3 linked regions of the Sus scrofa genome follow. The main gene of each other region encodes a partner of the protein of the gene in region 2 in a complex. Links are inferred from orthologs where the notes say so. Each region holds a gene or a part of one and is shown on either strand. Other genes may lie near its edges. The genes, in order: HLTF, S100A10 and ANXA2.

Region 1 (7,266 bases), on a different chromosome or scaffold from region 2:
GTTTGCCACTTCTGCTTGCCAGAACCGTGATCCTAGAGACTCACCAGAGACTCCTGTAGGATTTCCAAGGCTACCCTTGGGCCCCTTAACAGAGCTACTACATTAGCTTTTATTTCTTTACTGGCCTGGCACATCTGATCTCTCTAAGATCTGTAGATGCTTGAGGCTACTCTCTGGTAAATGACGCACAGTTTCCTTTTCTCAGAGGACCTCCAGAAACTTTGCTAGGCAGTCTATCACCCCTCCTTCTGTGATGCTTGGTCCAGGGTGATGGCATTCAAGGCCCTTTGCCTAAGACCCACTTAGAGATTTGCTTTGTGAACTCTCCTATGCCATTCCCCCAAATTCTCCTCTTCCACTGAACTTTTTCTCTATCTCCTTTTGGGAGAATGAAGAGGAAAACACAAGTTCTTACATCATATATTCTTCTGGAATCTATTAGCTATGACATAAACTTGGAAGTTTTTGTATTGAAGCCAGATGTTTGGAAACTCAGGTTGTTTTCTTTTCTTTCTGTCTTTTTAGGGCTGCACCCTTGGCACACGGAAGTTCCCAGGCTAGGGGTCAAATTGGAGCTGAAGCCACCAGCCACAGCCATAGCTACAGTAACTCGGGATCTGAGGTCCGTCTTTGAGCTACACCACAGCTCACAACAATGCTGATCCTTAACTCATGGAGTGAGGCCAGGGATCAAGCCCACATCCTCATGGATCCTATTCAGGTTGGTTACTGCTGAGCCATAACAGGAACTCTTGATTTGTTATTACTTTCTTTGGGTGTGAGAATGTCCTTATGGTTATGCATATGAAGGCCATTATAGGCAGGGTGTGTTGGGAAGTGACAGGGGTGAGAAGTAGGGGACAGATTATAAAAAGCCACACATGAGAGTTCCTGTTGTGTCTCAGGCGGCTACAAACCCGACAAGTATCCATGAGGATTCAGGTTCGATCCCTGGCCTCACTCAGTGGGTTAAGGATCTGGTGTTGCTATGGATGTGGTGTAGGCTGGAAGCTGCAGCTCTGATTCGACCCCTAGGCTGGGAATGTCCATATGCTGCAGTTGTGGCCCTAAAAAGACAAAAAAAAAGGGGGGGGGCACACATGCCATTCTTTGACTTCATGCTCATAGCATCAAACAGGGAAGGGACATGTTTAATTTGCATAAAGTGGAAGAGAGGATGAGAAAGCATGTTTGTGACTAGGAGGTGGGTAGCTGGAGGAATTTTTTACTCTTTCCCCTTCCTCAGCACCCATATCCAAATCCATTAGCAAACCCTTTGGTTTGTCTTAGTTTCATCACCTCCCCATTCCACGCTATCATCATTTCTCTCCTGGACACAATCATTTCCTGATTATCAACTAACCAGTCTCTCTGTTTCTGTTTTTGTTCCCATTTTCCACAGAGCTGCCAGAGTGAATTTTTTAAAGCCTATTTTTAGATTTGTCATTCTCCTGCTAAAAACATTTAGTGACTTTCTATTGCATTTAAAATAAAACTCTATCATAGACTATAAATTTGTATGTTATCTGGCCCTTATCTTCTTTGCTGTCCTCTTTGTGACAATCTCCTCCTTATCCATCAGTCCAACACACAAGACATTGTCCAATTCTCTTTTTTCAGTTATAAATGTTCATTTTTCAGAAAACATTATCTGGTGTGATAGTTCTGAATTTGTAAGTGTTGTGACATTTTAATCAAACTAGTACAAATTACCCTTTTTTAAAACTAAAAATAATAAAGAATGATTAAGTGAAAGTGTTCAAGTAAGTTCAGCTGCTAGGTCTGAGATGTAAAATAGTGACAATATAAACACAAACGTTGACTTTAAATAGGTGTTTTTACTGCATTCAATCCATATTCTTTACCTGTGGGATGGCCTTTCCTAACAGGTGTCAAGTCTTGAATGAGTAAGGTTTACCTATATTGGTACATTTGCAATTTTATCTTTCAGTCTGACGAACATAATTTATTAACTTTACACATAAATCATTTTCAATTTAGGCATTTACTGCCGTATTTTCCAATAGATCGGTTATTTAGATCTGGCACATCAAAAACTGAACAATATTGCCTTTTGCCTCATACTACTTCCAGAAGAAAGTAAAATAACTAAAATAATTTGAAATGCCATTCTCTTCATCTTCCTTCTATTTAGTGAAATGAATAAGTTGCTGCAAGTTTCTTTTCTCATTCTACTGTAGGTTCATATTTACAGATTGTGATAGTTTAAGTTAATCAACAAATGCCTCTTGAAAAACTGTTTCATTGACTGCCTGTCATACCCTGCTGATGGACGTGTAAAATGGACCACTCTTCGAAGGGCACGGGTCAACACTAACCCCTTTCTCAAATACATTTCCTCTTTGGTCCACAAGCAGTTGTGTTACAGTTATATCAAGTCCAAAGCACAGGTCAGGGCCACCACCAGCTTGTTACCCTAGGGCTGCTGCTGCACAAGTTAAAAGGCTCCCAGGGGACAGAGAACCAGCCCTGACAGCGCCTGCGCTGCAGCCGGCCCACTCGCCCACCCACTCAAAGCCGAATTCTCCTGAGTCTCCTCAGACTCTCAAAAGAGGGCGACAGAGCCCTTGGGAGTGCCCCCTACAGTTCCCCACGGAAAACCAACTTCTTCCTGCCCCGCAGGGACAGCAGCTTACCCCCAGGGGAAACTTGGCCACTTCCAGCAGTCACCAATAAAGCTCTTGTGCTGTCATCTCATTTTATGGCTTTCCTCTAGTAGAATGAAAAATTTCTCTTAAAAAAGAGGTGGGGGGTAGGGACTCCATAAATCGAAACTGCAATTATGCTCTCTGAGGCCGGTCTGTCTCATTGGTTAGCTAGCGGGGTTTAAAATGCACATTTTAAGGGCAACTACACGGGTTCACCACAGAAGATGAAGGACAGGATCTCGTTGGTAGCTCCAGGGCTCTTAAAGCCGGGAGCTTATTCAGTGGAATACCCTACTATATGTCACATCAGATGAAGAGAAAATTCGAGGTAGGCTGAGGTAGAGCCTGAAGAATGGGGCTGAGGCTTAGGGCTTGAGGGAAACAGTGCAAAAGACAGTGGTCGCCCTCTGCTTGAGGCGGGGAATCAATCAGAAACGCGAACACCGTAAGCACCGTAGTCCGCCTGCTGGGGCCGCGTGGCTTTCCCGCGCGACTAGCTTGGGGTTGAGGGAGAACCCGGATGGAACCGCCCCTGCAGCGGGGACAGCCCCCCAAGTCTTTGAATCGCTGCGCGGGGCGGAGCTGCCCACCCCTCCGTGCCCTGATTGGTTCGTCTGCGTAAACTCCTCCTCGGGATTGGAGGTAGGCGGTGCCAGTCACAAAGCGTCACTTGTCTCTCAGATTGTTGCTGGAAGGGGTCGGCGTCGACGTCTGACTAGGCTCCCGGCGTCTCACCTTTCTGGAGTGCGCTCTTGCTCGCGGCTCTAGAAACCTGTCCCCGGCTTCTCGGCCGCGGGCCCTGGAAGGAGACTTATCGAGGCCGCTCGAGAACGATCCCGGGCGCCCAAGCGTTCCCCTCGTCACCCACCCAGCGCCATGTCCTGGATGTTTAAGAGGTGAAGGGGGCGGAGGGGGTTGGGCACCGGGGGTAACGGCCTGGCGGCGTCCCTAGATGAACCTGACCTTCCCCGCGTTTCCTTCGCGTTACCCGTGCGAGCTGTGCAGCCAGTGTTCGTCCTGCTGGCGGCTTTTAATAGCTGCGGGAGAAAGAAATGCACAGTTTTGACTGGCGAGGGGAGGCTCCTCAGGCGAATCTCATGCCAGGGCTTGGGGAAATTTCTGTCAAGGGCTGTAAGGGGGCCTGGCTCAAAGCCACACTCTTAGGCCGGGATTGTGACCTGCAAGACACTCATCAGATACCCACTGTGCCCTCGGCATTGTGCTCGGCAGAAAGGGCCGGATAAGACAGCCCGTATCCTCAAGGAGCTCACCGTTGATGTGCGTGCACAGACGTGCAAATATCTATCTGCAGGGGAGCCAGAAGCAGTATGCGCGACGTGCAAGCCAAGCGCTGGGGAAATAGCGTCAGTCCGTTCTTAGGATAATAGAAGCTTCCTGAAAGCCCCCTCTCCGGCTTCCTCTCTTCATTGTCCAAATTGGGTTACATACCCGTTCCAGAAACAGCTCTCCAATTATCTATGGGGGAATTGAGGTTACCCTTAAACCAAGGGAGGGGAGGCTTGATGTCAGCTTCCCATTGTGACATGGTTTGGATACCTGAATAAAATGCGGGGTCTCTTCGAGGAGAATTCACGTAATGGATGTTGGATGTATTACTTGTAAAGTTATAAATGGCTTCATGTATAGATAGTCCTTTATTTGCAAGTCTCTTCCAGCTCATTCTCTATTGAAATTTTGGCATATAATTATTTGCAGACATCACACACATTTTACTTTAAATAGGTGATCATCACTAGGAAAGAGGTTTGTGAACCCTTATTGGGGTTTTCACTTTGAGTACCTGTGGGCAGAAGAGACATTATTGAACAGGTAGGTAGGGTTTCTAGAAACCTGTACTCACTTTAATCCCTGCTTTAACCAGAGGAACTATATATATTAATCTTCATATAGCCCTTCCCACATGAGATTTAATTTTTTGAAATGAAGTGTGAGAAAACAATTGGCCTTTAAGTGTGGTATAGTCTTTGAGAAATATTTGGTTAAATATTGTATTGTTTTCCTGTTTTTTGTTTTTGTTTTGTTTTGTTTTAAGAGATCCTGTTTGGAAGTACTTGCAAACTGTCCAGTATGGAGTCCATGGAAATTTTCCACGCCTCTCATATCCAACTTTCTTTCCACGTTTTGAATTCCAAGATATTATTCCTCCAGATGACTTCCTAACGAGTGATGAAGAGCTAGATTCAGTTTTATTTGGTACTTTGAGAGGTCATGTAGTTGGACTACGCTATTACACAGGAGTAGTGAGTATAATATTAGATACTAAGTTTATATGATGTCATCTATTAATGTAGAAAATAAGAGTGAGAAGGTGATATGTGCAGTAAATATCTTAATTTAAGTAATTGAAATATATCTAGGGAAGAGATAACAAATACCTAATTACTTACATTCTTTTACATTTATATCATGGTCACAATATACAAAGCACTGTTTCCTGTATGGTCTCATTTGATCACTAGAGTGTCTCTGAGGTAGTAGGACATCTATTATCCCTTTCTAGAACTGAGTAAAGGTAGCTCAGGATGGTTAAATGATTTGCATAGAAAGTACAGATACTATGTGGTAAATTTGCAAAATAACTTCCAAGTCTCTTGCTTTCTCCTTTCCTATCCTTCAGCACATTTTTACATTTTAGTATTTTTAATGTAGGAAGTACTAGACAAGAGAATTGTCTACTTTTAGGTCTTTTTTTCCTTTCTATAGTAAAACTATTTCCAATTTTTCTTCCTGCGTTTATGTTTCTGTATCTCTGTTTTCTGCTCTGTGTATGTGAGAGAGAGAAAACAGAGACAAAGAGAAAGCAGTTGTCTTTGTTATGGTTGTCTAGTATGCTCTGTGTTATTTGGATGATATATCTACTTTTATTTTTATTTATTTATTTATTTATTTATTCGTCTTTTAGGGCACCTGCAGCATATGGTGGTTCCAGGCTAGGGGTCGAATGAGAGTTGTAGCTGCTGGCCTACTACACAGCCACAGCAAAGCCCAGATCGGAGCCACGTCTGCGACCTATGCCACAGTTCACAGCAGCGCCAGATCCTTAACCCACTGAATGAGGCTAGGGACTGAACCCGCAACCTCATGGTTCCTAGTCAGATTCATTTCCAGTGCACCACAACGAGAACTCCTACTTTTTTTTTTTAATTATGAAAAATTTCAAACATGCATAGAATTAGAATGATACAATGAATTTTCATATACTTATGATCCATATTCAGCAGTTAGACAAGTTTTTTGCACATTTGCTCATCACTTTCTTTTTCTTTGGTACTAAAAATTCCAGCTGCATCACTTTACAACATTTAAGTGTGTACCTAAAAAATTTAGAAATTTTCTTTCTCATTGTTATATTTAACAAAATAATACTAGTTTCTATTACACCTAATAACTAATCCATAATAACTTATCTTGATTGTTTACAAATGCCTTTTTATAATTAATTTTTTAAAAATCAGAACCAAAACAAGTTAATATCCCTTTGGTTGTTATGTTTCATAAGTCACCCTTTGTTTCACGTCATTGATTTATTGCAGAAACTGCATGTGTTGTTCTATGGGAAGTTGGACTTGTTAGTTCTTCTATTCCTCAATATTTTTCTTATGTTTAAGCTTCTCAAATCATTTTTTGATTGTCTGAAGCATGTTTTGAAGGAGACACCTTGCGAAAGAATTCTATGATCTAGATTTGTTTAGTGTTTTATTTTCCCATATTTTCTTTATAGTACTGCATTTCTCAGATTATTTTGTAATTGTCTGAAATGTGCTGAAATGTGGTGTCTAGGACATCCTTAGGAAGGAACACCATTTCCTGATTTTTTTAAATGTTCATAATTGGGATATTTATGCTTCAAGGGCAGTTAGGTTGAATATAAAATCCTTGACCCATGTTTTTTTCTCCATGATATCTTTTTTTTTTTGGTCTTTTTTGGGCTGCACCCATGGCATATGGAGGTTCCCAGGCTAAGGGTCATATCAGAGCTGTAGCCACTGGCCTATACCACAGCCACAGCAATGCTAGATCCAAGCCACATCTGCGACCTATACCACAGCTCACAGCAATGCCAGATCCTTTGCAGGGCCAGGGATCAAACCTGCATCCTCATGGATGCTAATCAGATTTGTTTCCCCTGAGCTACAATGGGAACTCCATCTCCATGATATGTTGATATTGTATAAAATATTGCTGGTGAAAATTCTGATGCCAATGTGATTCTCTCCTACATAAGTGAATCGGACTTACCTTGCTTGGATAACTGAAGATTATTTCGCTTATGTTGAAAGTCCAGTAGTTTCATTTGGTGATGTCTTAGTGTTGACTGTTCTGTAACTTAATTTTCTTCTATTTCAGAATTTAAAAATATAGTTGATTTACAGTATTGTGCCACTTTCTTCTGTGCAGCAAAGCAACTCAGTCATATGTGTATATACATTCTTTTTTAATATTCTTTTCCTTCATGGTCTATTCCAGGAGAATGGATATAGTTCTGTGTGCTATACAGTAGGACCTTTTTGTTTATTTCTTTCATATATATAGATAGATAGATAGAAGGGATTGAACTGGCATCCTCATGGATACT
Region 2 (7,459 bases):
GCTGAGACTGTTTCTGTCCTGCGAATAAGTCTCTTTGTGTCTTTTTTTATTAGACTCCACACATGAGTGATCTCACATAATACCCGTCTTTCTCTGTCTGACTTACTTCACCCAAGACGACTATCTCTAGGTCCATCCATGTTGCTGCAGATGGCACTATTTCACTCCTTTTTATGGCTTATTGGACTTATTTTTACCCTAGAGTTTGCTGAAACTTTGCTGTGAAAAATGGACTCAGATGTCTCGGGCATACAAAGTGGTGGTTGGAAAGGCACCGATTTAACTAGGCAGGACTATGCTCCGTCATTATAAAGTTGGAACGTATTCCTGAAGTGCCTTCTCTTAATCCTTGGCATTTTTGTCCTTCAGCTAGACACAGCTACAGGGCAGGCAGCTCAATTTCGAGATTAGACTGCAAGCCTTGGTAGACTGTGCTCTCCCAGTTTGCAGGGTCTGTGGAAAGAGCTCCGCCTCATGCTAGATGCCCAAGGTATGGGGGCTCTTTGTAAAACAAAGCAGGAAACAAGCATTTCTGAAGAAGCAAACAAACATTCTGTTTCAAATTCAGAACTAAAAAAGGAAATTTGTTTATTGAGGGTAAGAGGATGCAAGCAATATAAAAATCAAAAGCTTATCTGGGTTTAATTGACTTGTCTTTCTCTGCTTCTCAAAGCAGAGTTGGGTTTTATTTGTACACTTTCTAAGGGTCCCAGTCTGCTCAGGAAATCCTTATACAGGGGGAAGCTGGGGGGGGGCAGATTCCTTAAGCGACCCTTTGTGAGAATTCTTATCAGGGCGGCATGATTGCTCAGTGCTGCCTACTTCTTTCCCTTCTGCTTCATGTGTACAACAAAATAGTCATTGCATGCGATGGTGAGCCCAGCGATTAGCGAAAAGAAGCTCTGGAAGCCCACTTTCCCATCTCGGCACTGGTCCAGGTCCTTCATTATTTTGTCCACAGCCAGAGGGTCTTTTTGATTCTGAAAAAAAAAAAAAAAAAAAAAAAAAAAGAACAGAGGCAAGTAGTATCAATCAGTGGTTGCAACAATGAGCTTCTTGTGATGTGTATGGCTGACAACTATATATAAAATCTAATGATTTGAAATCTTGCTTTAGGTCATAAGTGATTTTTGGAGGTCATCTAAATGTATGTTTTCCCTTTGAGGGAGCATTTCTGTAAATTCATATTTATTTCAGGCTAGGAGAGAGGGTTTCATGGCTTTCTTTTAAATAACTCAGGGACTTTAGAAACAGCATATTTCTAGAAAGAGGAGGTTCAATGCCAGAGAAGGGAGACCCCCCCCAACTTTGAATTCTCAGTCCTCTTAGAATCCAGCATAGTCTTCTGATTTGCTTTCCTTATAGTCCAATTGTTAATACAGTTTTCAAAATAATAAGATTCTGCCTAAGCAGTACTCCAAACTCCCTATTTTGTAGTTTAAAGTCTCTTAACAAACTTTTATTTCCAATAGCATGATCAAGTCCTTGACAAAGAAAACTCCTTATAAAAGACCTCATGTGATTATTTAGAGAGTTAAGTTTTAGATCATTGTTCTATGGGTTTTAAAGAGGCACTTGTGATACCATGGGGCGTGTTAGGTTTAAAGAGGGTAGGCAGATGGTCCTCATTTCTTGGCACATCTGAGGCCAACCTAGTGTGGCTTCACATCACATTAGCCAGGTGACCTTAAGTAAGTCACATAGCTTTGGTGGGCCTTTGTATAACAGCTAAGAATTGAAGTAGGACCAGAGTGTCTCTAAGATTGCTTCTATTCTTAATGCGTTGGCCCGTCTATGCCATCCTGTACTCTTTGCTGGATGTTTTTACATTGAATGTACTTCAAAAGCAATATATGTAATGGAATCCTAAACTCCCCATGACTCTTAATGCCAGTGCATGGAACTGGGATGGACAGGCAAGATCCCCTTTGTTTTTTCTTTTATCCTGCTTTCATTGTGATTGACTTGATCGCTCCTTTCTGTAGTGATGGTGCTTAGAAGTGGGAAAGGGTGGTTTCTCCTGCAGGGTCCATGCCGTCAACCAGAAGGAGATATGGCCCTTTACCGGTGTTAAAGGGCTCAGGTAAAGTATTTATGAATTCCACGGACTCGTATATGTGAGGGAGGGAATAGACACTCAGTGTCTCCAGTGTGCTGGATGTTTATAAACTGCACTCAGAAATCCCTTAAGGTGAAGCAGCAGCATTTCCCACATGCCCTAAGAAATCAACTCCAACCTGTCTATACAGCTGCCTCTGCTTTTGGTGGGTTTCAGTTAATTCTGGCCTCGACCCCAGTTTCCTGGCTGAGATCAGAAGGAGTGAAATCTGGATGACATAATGCTCTGTCAATGCAGCGAGTGTGGATGTGCCTGGAATTATGACCCCATCCTTGAATAAATTAAACTGCCATGTTTAGTACTCATTGCTGAACACTTGAATTTATCAAGCCACAGAGCCTTTAGGAGGAAGGGTCTTTGTCTCATGTGATGGTCATCCTGGCTTCTAACTCCTGAGTATTTAGGAATAGACCCAGAGTGCCTTTGTTTGTGTGGTGGGAAGCTTTACAATAAGCACATTTTGTCCTTGAATTTAATGCCTGCCTGGAAGGGTCACAGAACGTGAAAGTGATCTTGGAGGTAATCACGTCCAGCCCTCTCATTTTACAGAGGAGGGAACTGAGGCCCAGAAAACTGAAGCAACCTGCCTGATATTAGTTCGGGCAGAGCCAGATCATCTAATTCCTGGTCTGGGGCTATATCACAGAACTCAACAAAAGCAGAGCAACAGTATCCTCGAACTCATTCTGGGAGAGCATTGTGGTAACTGCAGCTCTGAGAAGCTAGTTAAGCTATTTATATCTGTTTGACTGGTACTGATGACATGCGAATCATTATGTACTACAAAACCCTATGTTTACTGAGTCAGGAGTCAGAGGCTTGACTAATGCCATTTACCAGGCAGATGACAAGAGAAAGGACCCTGCCTTTAACCATCACCTCCCTCCACCCTTTAGAGGTAATGCAATATTCCACACCAAGCACAGTGATGCTTCAAGCACCTCTGACTGTGGCAGCGAGAGAAGGGCTTGCATTTCAATCTACTATTTTGTTAGGCAATGTTTCACTTTCAGTGAAATGCAGTAACCATCTCTCCAGGGCCTGCAGTATAAAAGAACTACTGTGCTTTGTGGCCTGATGTCCTGAATGATGTATCTGAGCTGATGGGAGATCCTCTTCCTTCACTGATCCCTCTCAGGCTGTCAGAGGTGAGGCATAAACCCAAACTGTTCTCCTATGTTCACACAGCCTTTTCAGTGGGAAAAGCAGTTATTTCTTGAGCAATGCCTGGCTCTCATTTAGTAAATTTCACACCATTCCCTTATAGTAGAGCTCGAAAAAAGAATTTTAAAGCCTTTATCTGAAGGGATTTAAGAAAGGAGATTCAAGCTGCTCAAAGGACAGCCTGAGGACAGCCAGGCACCCTGGTTGATTACTCCCTGGTGCAAGGCCTTTTTTCCTGCAACTCTGTCTCTATGGAGGCAGATGACTCCAGATAAAGTCGCTCTAACACCTCAAACTGTGGTGATTTGTGTGTAGTCTCATTTCACCTCCAAACTGAAAGCTCCTTGAGGGCAGAGGCAGTGTCTTCTTTACTTTCTGTTTCCAACCCCACTGTCTTACAAACAGTAGGCACTCAGTATATTTAATCAATAAATGAATGAAAACACCTTTCTAGCACTGACTTCCCCCGGGAAGGGCTGGAAAGAGGAAGGGACAGGAACCAGGGCCCAGAAGCACTGATTTCTATGTCTGGTTCTCTCTGAGCCTTTCAATACTTACTTCCAAAAATCCCGGGAACTCCTTTTCCATGAGTACTCTCAGGTCCTCCTTTGTTAGGTAGCCTTTATCCCCAGCAAATTTGTGAAATGTGAACATCATGGTTTCCATGGCATGTTCCATTTGAGACGGCATTTTCGTGAGGTCTGTTGAAACCTATTAAAGGATGTGAAGCGACAGAATTTACATTTTTTCCCCCTTTTTTGGCTGCCCTGTGGTATATGGAGTTCCCAGGCCAGGGATCAGATCTGAGCTATAGCTGCCACCTAAGCCACAGCTGTGGCAACACCAGATCCTTAACCTACTGTGCCAAGCCCAGGAACGAACCTACATCCCAGAGCTCCCAAGATGCAGCTTATCCCATTGCACCACAGCGGGAACTCCTACATTAACTTTTAAACCACATGATTTACCAGTCTTTTGAGAATGATTGGAAGAGGGCAATTTGCTCATCCAGTCCATCCTTTTTAACTGTAAAATTCAATGAATACATCAGGACCAATTCATCCCAGGTTTGGGGTCTCCTGCTGATGGAAATAGGCACTTTAGGTACTGCTGCTCTGAAGGAGGGATTGATCTAGTTGCCTGTTAACTGCACAAATCACCCAATGAAGAATAAAAATTCTAATCATTTGGAAAAGCAAGATCAGTGCCCCTCTTTTTAACTGACAAAGCTCCTACTGAGAGATGTTTCATCATTTCTCTTGGCACCGGTAAATGGGACTCAGATATAGCTGAATACCAACAACTCGCACAGTCAAGCTTGGTTAATACGAAAACTTCAATTCTCCAAAAGCTGAATTAAGTAACTTAGTTTAGTTTAAGTCTATGCTTAAGAAATCTGCTTACAAATGACTTTCATATGCTGAGTATGTATTCTTTACTAAAAGTTCTGAACTTGCTATAGATTCTAACAAACATCTGCATCTTTGGTAGTGAGTTGCAGTTGCCCTCCTCAAATAAAGCTACCCAAAGCCCATTATCTACTTTCTTGAAAAAGAACAGGTAATAGTATATCCATCCTAATTCCTTTGGGGATCTGATATATCCTTGGCAGCACTAGACAAAAGACCTACTCTCACCGTCTGGGGTGCAGTGGGAGAGCAAGAGCTTTTCATTGTGAATAGTTAAAGAAAGGAGTTCTTTTGTGGTGCAGTGGGTTAAGGATCTGGCATTGCCACTACTGCAGTTTGGGTTTGATCCCTGGCCTGGGGGCTTCCATATGCCAGGGATGCGGCCTAAATAAATAAATTAATTAAATAAAAAGATAAAGGAGATGTCAGATTGTTATATTCAGGTATAATAATCTGAGGACATGTGTCTAATCAAGACATACACTTGGTACCCAACAGGAGCCCACTGAATTTTGCTTAATTGGAAGGCAGGCTTTGGCCAGAACAGAGTAGCTTTAGTTAACAGCACCTAAAATCACTCCAGGATAAGAAACAGATGAACTTGAATAGAGACTGTAATATATACCGTGGGAAAAAAAAAAGATAAGAATAGGTTTTGAACAGAGGTTGAAGGAAAGTCTGGCATCTTCCCCTGAAGGGTTGATACAGGAACCAGAGACGTGGTTTCAGCCTGGTTTCTGCTGCTGACATATGCGTGTGTAACATATCCCTGAATACTATCTTTTATGGGGGAAGAGGGTGGAGTTGGTGAACACAAGGATTGAGCAAGTACATGTCAAAAGTTCTACCCCTTAATCCCCAGAAAAGTACAGGAATCAGCATGCCAAAGAATGTGCTACTCTAGAGAATGTTATAAACCAGAATCTGGCATGATTCATCTGGCAGGCAGGTCTCTTGGAGAGAGCAAAAAATTCAAGGTCCACTGTGGGATGAATTCCAGGGGAACCACACCTTTTCTCCTTTCTTCTGACACAGTCAGGATCTGGCTTCAGATGGCAGTGGGCTTCAGATGGCAGTGGCCGAGATTGGCTCTGGAAGTACAGCAACTTAAGAGATCTGAGCTGAATAAATCACCTATGGGAGAAGGCTGTGTGGCGTCCCACCCCAGTTCTGAATAACTAGGAAAGCAGTCAGCCACCACAGAGGTTTAAAAATACCTCTAGCTCAAGTGGCAGAGTCCTTCACAACCAATGCCTGAGGGTCCCAGAAACTCCAACTGGCTGTGGGATATCGAGTTTACTTTCTTCACAGGGCAGAACAGAAGGAAAATGCACAGCAAAGCCAGAGAAGTAAGAAAGGGAAGGCAGCAGGCTAAGGACCCCTAAAATAGAAAACAGGCTAATTTAGGAACTTCTAAGAAATAAAGGTTGTAAGCTGAGGAAGTCTTGGCCACCCTTGAATATGTTCTTCAAGAGACTGAGACCAGTTTTCTCTGAGGAGCACTCAGGTCTCAGGTCACTCCAAACCCACCCCTTCCTAGTCTGTGCTCATTATCCAGTGCTGGAGCTTTTCTGCCCCACCGGATCCCCTTTGCTGTATACTCAGCACATGGGCTGTGCACACAGCAGCCAGAAGACTCCCTGTTTGTCTGGAAGACTGTCTGCAATAAGAAGGCAGAACAGGGGCTGATCAGAAGATCCACGGTCGTGAAAAGGAAAATAGTTTTGAAAACCAGAGGAGAGGGGGAGTTCCCGTCATGGCTCAATGGTTCACGAACCCGACTTGCATCCATGAGGACTTGGGTTCACTCTCTGGCCTCACTCAGCGGGTTAAGGATCCAGCATTGCTGCAAGCTGTGGTGTAGATCCCACACACTGGTTTTAAAGTAAGATGAAGGAAAAGGGGGAAATGTCATTAACACTGCTCTCTCGGCTGGTGGATAAATCGTGCAGCTCTTCTAGAGTGCGGCAGCCGCCCAACTGAGTCAGCCGGCTCAGCCCTCCCATCCTGGGCAGGCCTTGCTCAGGCTGGGATGGTGGCAGCAGCACTGACCACTGGTTGATAAAACAGCAGTTCGGGGACCTGAATCTGGTATTTCCATCCACCCAGTCATCCGGTGAGCTCCATTCCAGGACAGGGGTTGGACTCTAGTTTCTGGCTCAGAAACACTTCCACTGGATAGCCTTGGGTCTGGGGCTGGGAGGCAGCAGCATCCTCTCTGTGCCCCAGACAACCTACTCTTGCACCTGAAACACTCCATCCATTTAGTCATTTACAGACTTGTCTGTCTTAGATTTAGGTTCCTCTAGTTAAGAACTGTGAATTATTCTGTTTTATCCATGAACCACTAAATCAGTGTTTGTTAGTGAACCAACGAATGAATCAATCCCTTTGGCTGGAGTTGAGGTGTAATTAGCCAGGTCTGGGCTGAAGCCCTTGAGGCTCAGAGCTCTTCGGGAGGAGGTGAGCGCTGGGAAGGGCAAGCCGGCCTATGAATGAACAGCAGAGTACATTCCAGAGCAGAGAACAGAGGAGAACATAACAGAGTGCATTCCATAACAGACTGTGTCCTGCTCAACAGGTCTGGTCACCCGACACTTGTCTCTCTCTTCTCACTCTTGCTGTTTTGTTTTGTTTTTTGTCTTTTTGCCTTTTCTAGGGCCACTCCCACAGCATATGGAGGTTCCCAGGCTAGGGGTTGAATCGCAGCTGCAGCTGCCGGCCTATGCCAGAGCCACAGCAACTCGGGATCCGAGCTGCGTCTGCA
Region 3 (7,340 bases), on a different chromosome or scaffold from region 2:
CCCAGTGTACACCACTCACTACCCCTCCCCTCAAAAGCATTTTTAGTGAACAGAACCTTCCTGAAAGCACAGACTTTTCTCCTTGGTTTTATGGTCTTGATTAATGCCTGAGTCACAGGAGCAAGTCATTCCCCAGAAATCCTGGAATTCTGCCCAGTGGCCATGATCAAATTGAGCTGGAGGGACACAGTGGCACTTGCTCTGGCCTGTCCCTTTTGCTGCCCGACCTGAATCAATATTTGTTTGCTACCTCCAGACACCACAGCCTCTTACTCTCAGAGCCTCTCACCAATCTCCTGATATGGGGCTCGAGTGGAAAGAGCCAGGCAGAAGAATGATGTCACTTGGCCTGAGGCACTTTTCGGGGTTGGGAAATCAAGGTCTTCACATGTACAATTCAATTTCAGTGTTTTATGGCCCACGTATTTCCAACCGGGCCCTGCTGCTTATAGAAAAGGGTCAAAAGAGCATTCAGGATCTTCCACATGCTGGACGCTACTTATTCTTTCATAAATAAAGCGTGTGCAAACACACACGCACACACGTGCACGAACCAAAGTCAGACTCTTGCCTGGTAATTCTCCAACACACTCAGTGCTGTCTTACAACCTCAGGCCCAGGCTCTCCAAGTTCCCTCCACTGGGAGCACTCAATCTGGATCAGCTGACATTCTCATGAGACTTCAGGATACAAAACACACTGTTACCTTTCTCCTGCCCCTCTCCCTGCCCTGCACTCCTGTCTCCCTTGCTGTGTCTGTGAAATATCAGAGCTCAGTGTACAAAGGCATTCTTCCACTCTATCCTCCCACGGGGTTTCTGTCTTACTCATTCCCGTTTCCTCATAGGTCTGAGCCATGCCTTGCAGTGTAAGCGTTTTGTACTCACATTTCTGGATGGTTTACACACACTGGATCTTTCTGAATTGTCTCTCCCCCCCCTTTTCTAATACACTCCTCCTCAATTCTTTCTTTTCCTCAGAATATCTCAAGTGCAGGTCTGGTTCCATATGTTCAGAGCTGAGGCTTAAGTTCCCAGGCTCGGAGGTTCCAATCTCTGTAAAGCCTGGTAGATCAATTCCGGGTACCGCCTCCATCTCATCACATGTGGCTCACCTCCCCTCACACACCCTGCCCAACACCCCCCTCTTTACCACCGGGGTCCCCTAGGTCCAGCTCTGTCCACAAGACAATGTGGAAATGTTACCCACATCTTCAGTAAGGAAGGCAGAGAAGGAGGGGCAAGGAGGAAGGGTTTGCAAGTGGCCTTGGGACTCTGATTTCCTCTGAACTGGGAGTGTGGAGACTGGGTGTGGCAGAGAGACAAAGGGCAAGGATTCCATGGGACAGCTGCTCCCTGGAGTCAGAACTTTCCACACCAAGCCTGGGGAGTATTAACTCAGACCACTTGAATGCTACACCGTCTTCTGATAGGACAGAGCTCAGGGGGGTTAAAAGCTTCAGAGTGCTCCCTGGGAGAGAGATTTGGAGGTAATCTCAGTGGAACCGCACAGAAGAACAGGCCTGGTCATCTTCTGACCCCGACTGTGCCCCAACCAAGTAGCTGGGGACCGCCTCTGGCAACTGGAGGAGGAAAAATACAGCCGACAGTGAATGAGCGGAAAAAAAAATTTTTAAAGGACAGGAATTTCCTCTGATGGAGCCTACAGCCAGAACAGGGTGTGGCACCAGGGACTATGAGGGAGGTGGATTCCCACATGCAAGAGAAAAAAAAGAGCATTTCATTTCTAGTCTCACAAATCTGGAAGGCAGGCTAAGTCATGATAACTTTAAACCACACCTTCCCTAAAGCAGGTTAAATATGATGCTCAGGTCTGTGGGACAGCTGGATTAAAGGGAAAATGAGTCCCAACCAAATCTGGAAACCAATATTAAGTGGGGAAAGGGCCAAGTTCACAATTCACTGACTGTCTATGCATCTCACTCATTTTTGTCTCTAATATTTTTCTCCCCACTAGATTTAAAGTCTAAAGAGCAGAGATTTTCTTTGTTTTTGTTCTATTTTGGTCACTGGTGTATCCCCAGTGCTTCTACCTGTGAATACAACATGGTATAATAAACATTATTGAATGAACAGATGTTTGAAGCAGCTCAGGAGAGCCTGAGACTTTTCTGTGACACACCCACCTTCAGTTAGTGAGAAACACTTCAGCAGGCCCACACAAGCAAAGATCAAGACCAGATTCCAGGCCCAACAGTGCAGGAAGAGCCTACAGCCCTCAAAATCAATAGCAATTACAGACAGATACCTACCTTGCCAGGAAAACTACTTAAATTAGAAATTAGTCAGGAAACTAATGGCCACGACCGCCCAGGACGTTAATCGATACAGTACTTTAATAGCTCAAAGACACGGATGTTAAATATTGAGACTCTAGTCCAAAACCAAGCTCCTGATCAAAACCAGTAAGGCAGCAGTATTTCCTGTGCATTTACAGCAGGCAAGCCATTTGGCACTGAAGGAAATCACAAAATCCAGGTGGTCCCCAAATCATAAACCTTCAACTAAAAAAATTTACACTGATGGTCACACCCTTCCACTGTAGATGCACTGTAAACTTCTGGAGAAAGCCTTGATGAAGCTTTGAGGTAAAAGATGGAGCTAGAAGAGAAGAGAGTGCTTTGCGAGATGGTCTTAACACCACTGACCACAAAGGACCCTCAAATGGACCTCATCTAAAATCTCCCTTCACATTGTCTATTATGTGGCTCCTTAATTCCATAGCCTCAAATCCTATAAATTACAGATGTTTATGTTTAAAAAGTTTTGTTTTTTTTTAAATAATACAACTCCCCTAGGATGCTGGGCATTTTAGGACCACCAGCCATTCCTAGTATTGAATATTAATGAATATGGATTCAATCTGCTAGTCTCTAGCTAGATATACAAGGAGGGGAATGCAGAACTGGATAAGCAGGGATGGGCTTTTGCCATTTGGCAGGGGCGTGGGTCTTCAAAGAATCAGGAGGAAGAGAGACAAAAGTGGGGAGGGTGACAAAGATATAATTTTACAATTAAAATAATTTAATAAGGGTCAAGCTTAAAATGAAGAAAAAGTTCCAGTGAAATGTTTCAGTGATTTATTCTTTTTATCTCCATATCCTCCCTAACCTACCCTTTCACTTTCCCTTCGCTCCCCAACAGCCCACCTCCCAAATTCCACATATATTATCAGTATTTTTGATTCAGTGCACACAGGGTCTCTGGGCTAGTCTGACAAATTAAGCGCCTTCCATAACATTGCTTCAGTGGGAAAGTGAAATCGGCATCCCAAATAACCAAGTTCCAGACAAGCACAGTTAGGCACACTTTTGGATAGAACCCACTAGTAGAGTTCTCTGAGTGTCGGGGAACAGAATCCTGGACTCCAGAACACTATGGTTCTTGGTAAAGACCCAATACGTACCCATGAGGTTACTGCTCTTCTGTACACAGATGGAGAATACCTTTAAATAACTTTAAAATGGCAAATCTTAACACAAAAATAAGGACACTTTGTGTTGTATGGCACCTAATGTTTTCAGTGTGCTTTACATATTTATTTTTGAATGAACGTGTTTTTTGAAATCTTCATGACAACCCTATGAGGAAGGTAGGAATTGGCGTCCTCACAGAACTCCCAAGCAGCGGCCTGAGGGGCCACGCCCTTTTCTGTACCTTCCGTCCCTGACTCACTGCTGCATCAGTGCAAGTCAGTCAGTGACAACCCTCCCCACAGAACCCCGGGGTTGGGGGACACTTCCTTCCCGATGCAAAAGTGGTCAACCAAGTAGGGAAGGATACACGGAAATCAGAAGTTGCTCTTACAAGATAATCTAGACAAAGGAGAATGAGGTTTCTTCATTCTGTTTTGTTTGACTGGAGCAGGGGGCCGCTGCTAACAGCTCCCACCCCTTATCCTCCCCTCACTGCTTCCCTTCTACTAGTCGGCACAAGTTCCATAAATGCGCCTCTGTTTCAAGTAAAGTAACTTGGAACAGGTGGGGATTTCTTTCTAGAGGGTCGTGTAACGCGTGGAGGGTGCCGTAAGTCTGCTCTCCACCAGACCCGGGGCTCCAGGGCGGCCACACCCTGCCCCCCGCCGCGTCTGGCCCGTCTGGAATGCGGGGCCTCCCCCCGCCCCCCGCCCCCCGCTCCTCTCTCGGCGCCACTTCTCCGGGCTTCCTGCGAGCACTTCGGGGATGGGATGCCCAACCCCCTTCTTCTGCCCTGCACTCCCCAGGCTGGGGCGCACCTGGCCCCCCCTCACTCCAGTCCAGATCCCCACTATGCCCCCTCCCCAGAGAGCCCCTGGTGCGGACGGACTCTCCAGCCCTCTCCCCAGACAGCCTCGGGGTCCCCACCACTGGAGCTTCTCTTTGCAAGGCCGTCTCCTTCCCCGCCTCTCTGCGCCCCGCTAGCGCGGTGGCCCCAGGGCCATAGCGGGCGGACGAGGCGCCCCGCTTACCTGGGCCAGGCGCCGAGCGCTGCGAGCGTCCCCAGATGCAGAGCGGAGCTGCCTGACCTGGGTGGGGCTTTTATAGCCACCACATCCTCCCCGCCGAGGCCCGCCTCGCCCCGCCCCGCCCCGCCTTCCCCTGCCCTGGCCCATTCGCACCCGGAGTCGGGAGTCGGGGTGACTCACCCTACCCAGCCCGCCCGCCGCCGCCCGCAGGGTCCGCCTCGCCCTGTAACGTTCCCCGGGCCGCGCCAGTGGGAGCGGCCCCGCGCCCACGGCGCTGCCCTCCGGTAAAGCGCCGCCGAGGCTTCCTTGAGGCCCAGTACCGGCTTCGTTTCTTCCTCCCTTCCTCTTTTACTTCTGGAGCGCCACGTCGAGTTCTCAGCCCCGGCTCAATTTATAAATTGGCAAGACTTGAGCCGACTCTGAGCTTGGCTATGTCACTTTTTTTTAAGGCGTCAATGCAATGGAAGGAAGAATTGTGCCAAGAAACATAAATCGTGATTCCCCCGAGCTGAGCCGTTGGCATTCAGCTCCCGGTTACCGACAGCACACATATTAGCTTAACCTCTGACCGACAGTTCCTGGGAGGAGCGCGCGGAGGCGCGGCGGGTGGGGGTGGGGGGGGACGGTCCACACGGTCCCGGCGGGCAAACGATTGGTCCGCCCCCGCCTCCGAGCGCGCTGCGAGGCGTGGAACTACGGTGGGAGCTGGGTGGCGCGTTAGGGGGCCCAGACCCGGAGCCAAGTTCTTACCCACCACCCCCCCGCCCCGCCGGGGAGGCGCCCTTTGCCTGAGCGCGCCCTTCGTTTCCCTCCACGCTTCCCGGGACCGTTCAGCCTCCCGTGTGGAGCAGCTCTGCTCTGCGAGTCCTCGTGGCAGGCAGCCTTGGACTGGGTGGGGCCGATGGTTTAGAACCTCGAGTTCCAACAAAGAAGTTTCCTCCCTTCCTTCTTTCCGAACTGCCATTTTTTTGTTTGGTTTGATTTTGTTTCCCTCTCAGCCTCTCAGTAAGCTCCCTGGTTTTGTTCAGTTTCTCATTTTCTTCCATGCTCTTTCCACGAACTGCAGCGGCAACATGCAGACAAACATGGTTTTGTGTATGACTGCGTAAACACTGTATTCAAACCTCAAACTAGAGGGAAAGTTATGCTAAGAATCCAAAAGATCGCCCTTGGCTCCTTTTAATTCCTTTCATACACCTCACGTAGCTCTCTGCTGGTCTTGATGCTTCTGTGTTTTAATTTTCCACCTATGTTACCGTCCATTTTTACTCTTCAGTATCATTTCACTCCTGGGAATCAGAAAATGGTAAGGCCAAGACATCGTTCCCAAGCTCAAAGTCAAATCCAGACCATAAACGGGGCCTCTGGACACTCAACTCAGAGCTCACCCAACCCATTTCTTTCACTCAGAATGAAACACGATTGGCACTGTCAGAAGGACAAATAGAAAAGAAAGCAACTCTGTTCATACAATTTCTGATTTACATTCAGAGCTATTCAATTTAGACTGAAAACTTTTAAGCCAGAAATTGTGTTTTTCTGCCTACTCCCTGAACGTTTTGGAACAGAAGGCGAACACAGGATGATAATAATGGTGGACAAGATTCTGACTCTCTTTCTCTTCTCAGGGCTGATTGCACAGCCTCTGACTCCTAGTTGTGCTGTTATAGGCCCTCTACAGAAGATAAGATTTAATTCAAATCCTGTGGACTACCTAAAAGCCAAGTATCCAAAAGAATGCTTTTGCTTATCTAGGGCATCCAGCAAATCCAAACATACAGATCTGTTCAATAGTCAGAGTTTGCTTTATGCTACAGAATGTCACACTGTTGTTATCAGAAAAATGAAGCTGTTAGAAGTCACAGTTTGCTATTTATGAGCAATGTGGGGCCAGTTCTGCCTCTATAAAAGAAGTTTTGAATGGCTGAGTGCAAAGATCCTTTTTCCTTTCTTGTTTTTCCCCCCATGGCTGGGAGAATGTTTACTACAACAGATCTCAGATTATGTCTGCTATAGTGCATGGTCTCCTCTAAAGCCTTAACTTTATTTTGTTCACACTTTATCTGCTGCACTCACTACTAATAGTGCCTAGCTAGCAGGCATAGGCACTTACTAAAAACTACAGAATAACAGAATGGAATTATTCACCCAAAAATAGCATGTTAGAGTAGAGAGGGACCTTAAGACACTAACTTGGAGTTCCCTGGTGGCTCAGCAGGTTAAAGACCCAGCATTGTCACTGTTGTGGCTCGGGTCACTGCTGTGGCATGGGTTTGATCCCTGGCCTGGAACTTCCACATGCTGAAAGAGTGGCTAAATAAATAAATAAATCTGCTCCAGTAACAGCCAATTAAATTGCTAAAGCCAATTAAAAAAAAAAAAAAAAGACACTACTTTGTCCAATCCTTGATTAGTATAGATGAATAAACTGGAGCCCAAATAATGTCTCCTACCTAGTCCAGAGATTAAACAGTGCACTCAAGTTGCTTATCGCAGTCCCACCAATTATCACCAAAACTGAGTGGTTCAAACATAAACAACCATTTATTTGCTCATGGTTTTGTAATTTGGACAGGACTCAGAACAGCTTGTCTCTACTCCGTGATGTTGGGTGGGGCAGCTCAGCTGAAGTGGTACGATGGAAAGGAATTTCACTCACTGGGCTGGTGCCTCCACTGGGGTTGCTGGAATGGCTGAGAGCAGGCTGGGTCTCTCTGTCCCTTGGACACTCATCTGCCAGGTTTTCCTCTTTACATCAGATAGTAATGGCAGGTGGCTCTCAAGAAACAAAAGCTAAAGTTGCCAGGTCTCTTAGCATGTGGGCTTATGCAACAACAGCCTGGATTGGTTTTATGGGCCCTAGTTTGCCAATTCTT

Evidence for each region.
Region 1: the proteins of S100A10 (region 2) and HLTF are in contact, whole or in part, in a crystal structure (PDB 4HRE), measured with the Homo sapiens proteins. The link is inferred for Sus scrofa from reciprocal best matches to the Homo sapiens genes S100A10 and HLTF. Residues at the interface, in NP_002957.1 of Homo sapiens: Phe42, Asp58, Leu59, Asp60, Gln61, Gln70, Ser74, Leu75, Ala77, Gly78, Leu79, Ile81, Ala82, Tyr86; in NP_001305864.1 of Homo sapiens: Thr32, Phe33, Phe34, Pro35, Phe37, Phe39.
Region 3: the proteins of S100A10 (region 2) and ANXA2 are in contact, whole or in part, in a crystal structure (PDB 4FTG), measured with the Homo sapiens proteins. The link is inferred for Sus scrofa from reciprocal best matches to the Homo sapiens genes S100A10 and ANXA2. Residues at the interface, in NP_002957.1 of Homo sapiens: Phe39, Gly41, Phe42, Asn45, Gln46, Ala51, Lys54, Ile55, Leu79, Ala82, Cys83, Tyr86, Phe87, Met91; in NP_001002857.1 of Homo sapiens: Val4, Glu6, Ile7, Leu8, Lys10, Leu11, Ser12, Leu13.

What each region holds. Positions count from the first base shown.
Region 1 is NC_010455.5:89,329,083-89,336,348, reverse strand, and holds the start of HLTF (helicase-like transcription factor), read left to right. Parts: upstream 1-3,334; 5' UTR 3,335-3,545; coding exon 3,546-3,565; intron 3,566-4,722; coding exon 4,723-4,930; intron 4,931-7,266. UniProt on the Homo sapiens protein: Has both helicase and E3 ubiquitin ligase activities. Possesses intrinsic ATP-dependent nucleosome-remodeling activity; This activity may be required for transcriptional activation or repression of specific target promoters.
Region 2 is NC_010446.5:97,265,615-97,273,073, reverse strand, and holds S100A10 (protein S100-A10), read right to left. Parts: upstream 3,995-7,459; 5' UTR 3,974-3,994; coding exon 3,842-3,973; intron 981-3,841; coding exon 819-980; 3' UTR 781-818; downstream 1-780. UniProt on the Homo sapiens protein: Because S100A10 induces the dimerization of ANXA2/p36, it may function as a regulator of protein phosphorylation in that the ANXA2 monomer is the preferred target (in vitro) of tyrosine-specific kinase.
Region 3 is NC_010443.5:111,586,394-111,593,733, reverse strand, and holds the start of ANXA2 (annexin A2), read right to left. Parts: upstream 5,014-7,340; 5' UTR 4,785-5,013; intron 4,511-4,784; exon of another isoform or gene 4,468-4,510; intron 1-4,467. UniProt on the Homo sapiens protein: Calcium-regulated membrane-binding protein whose affinity for calcium is greatly enhanced by anionic phospholipids. It binds two calcium ions with high affinity. May be involved in heat-stress response.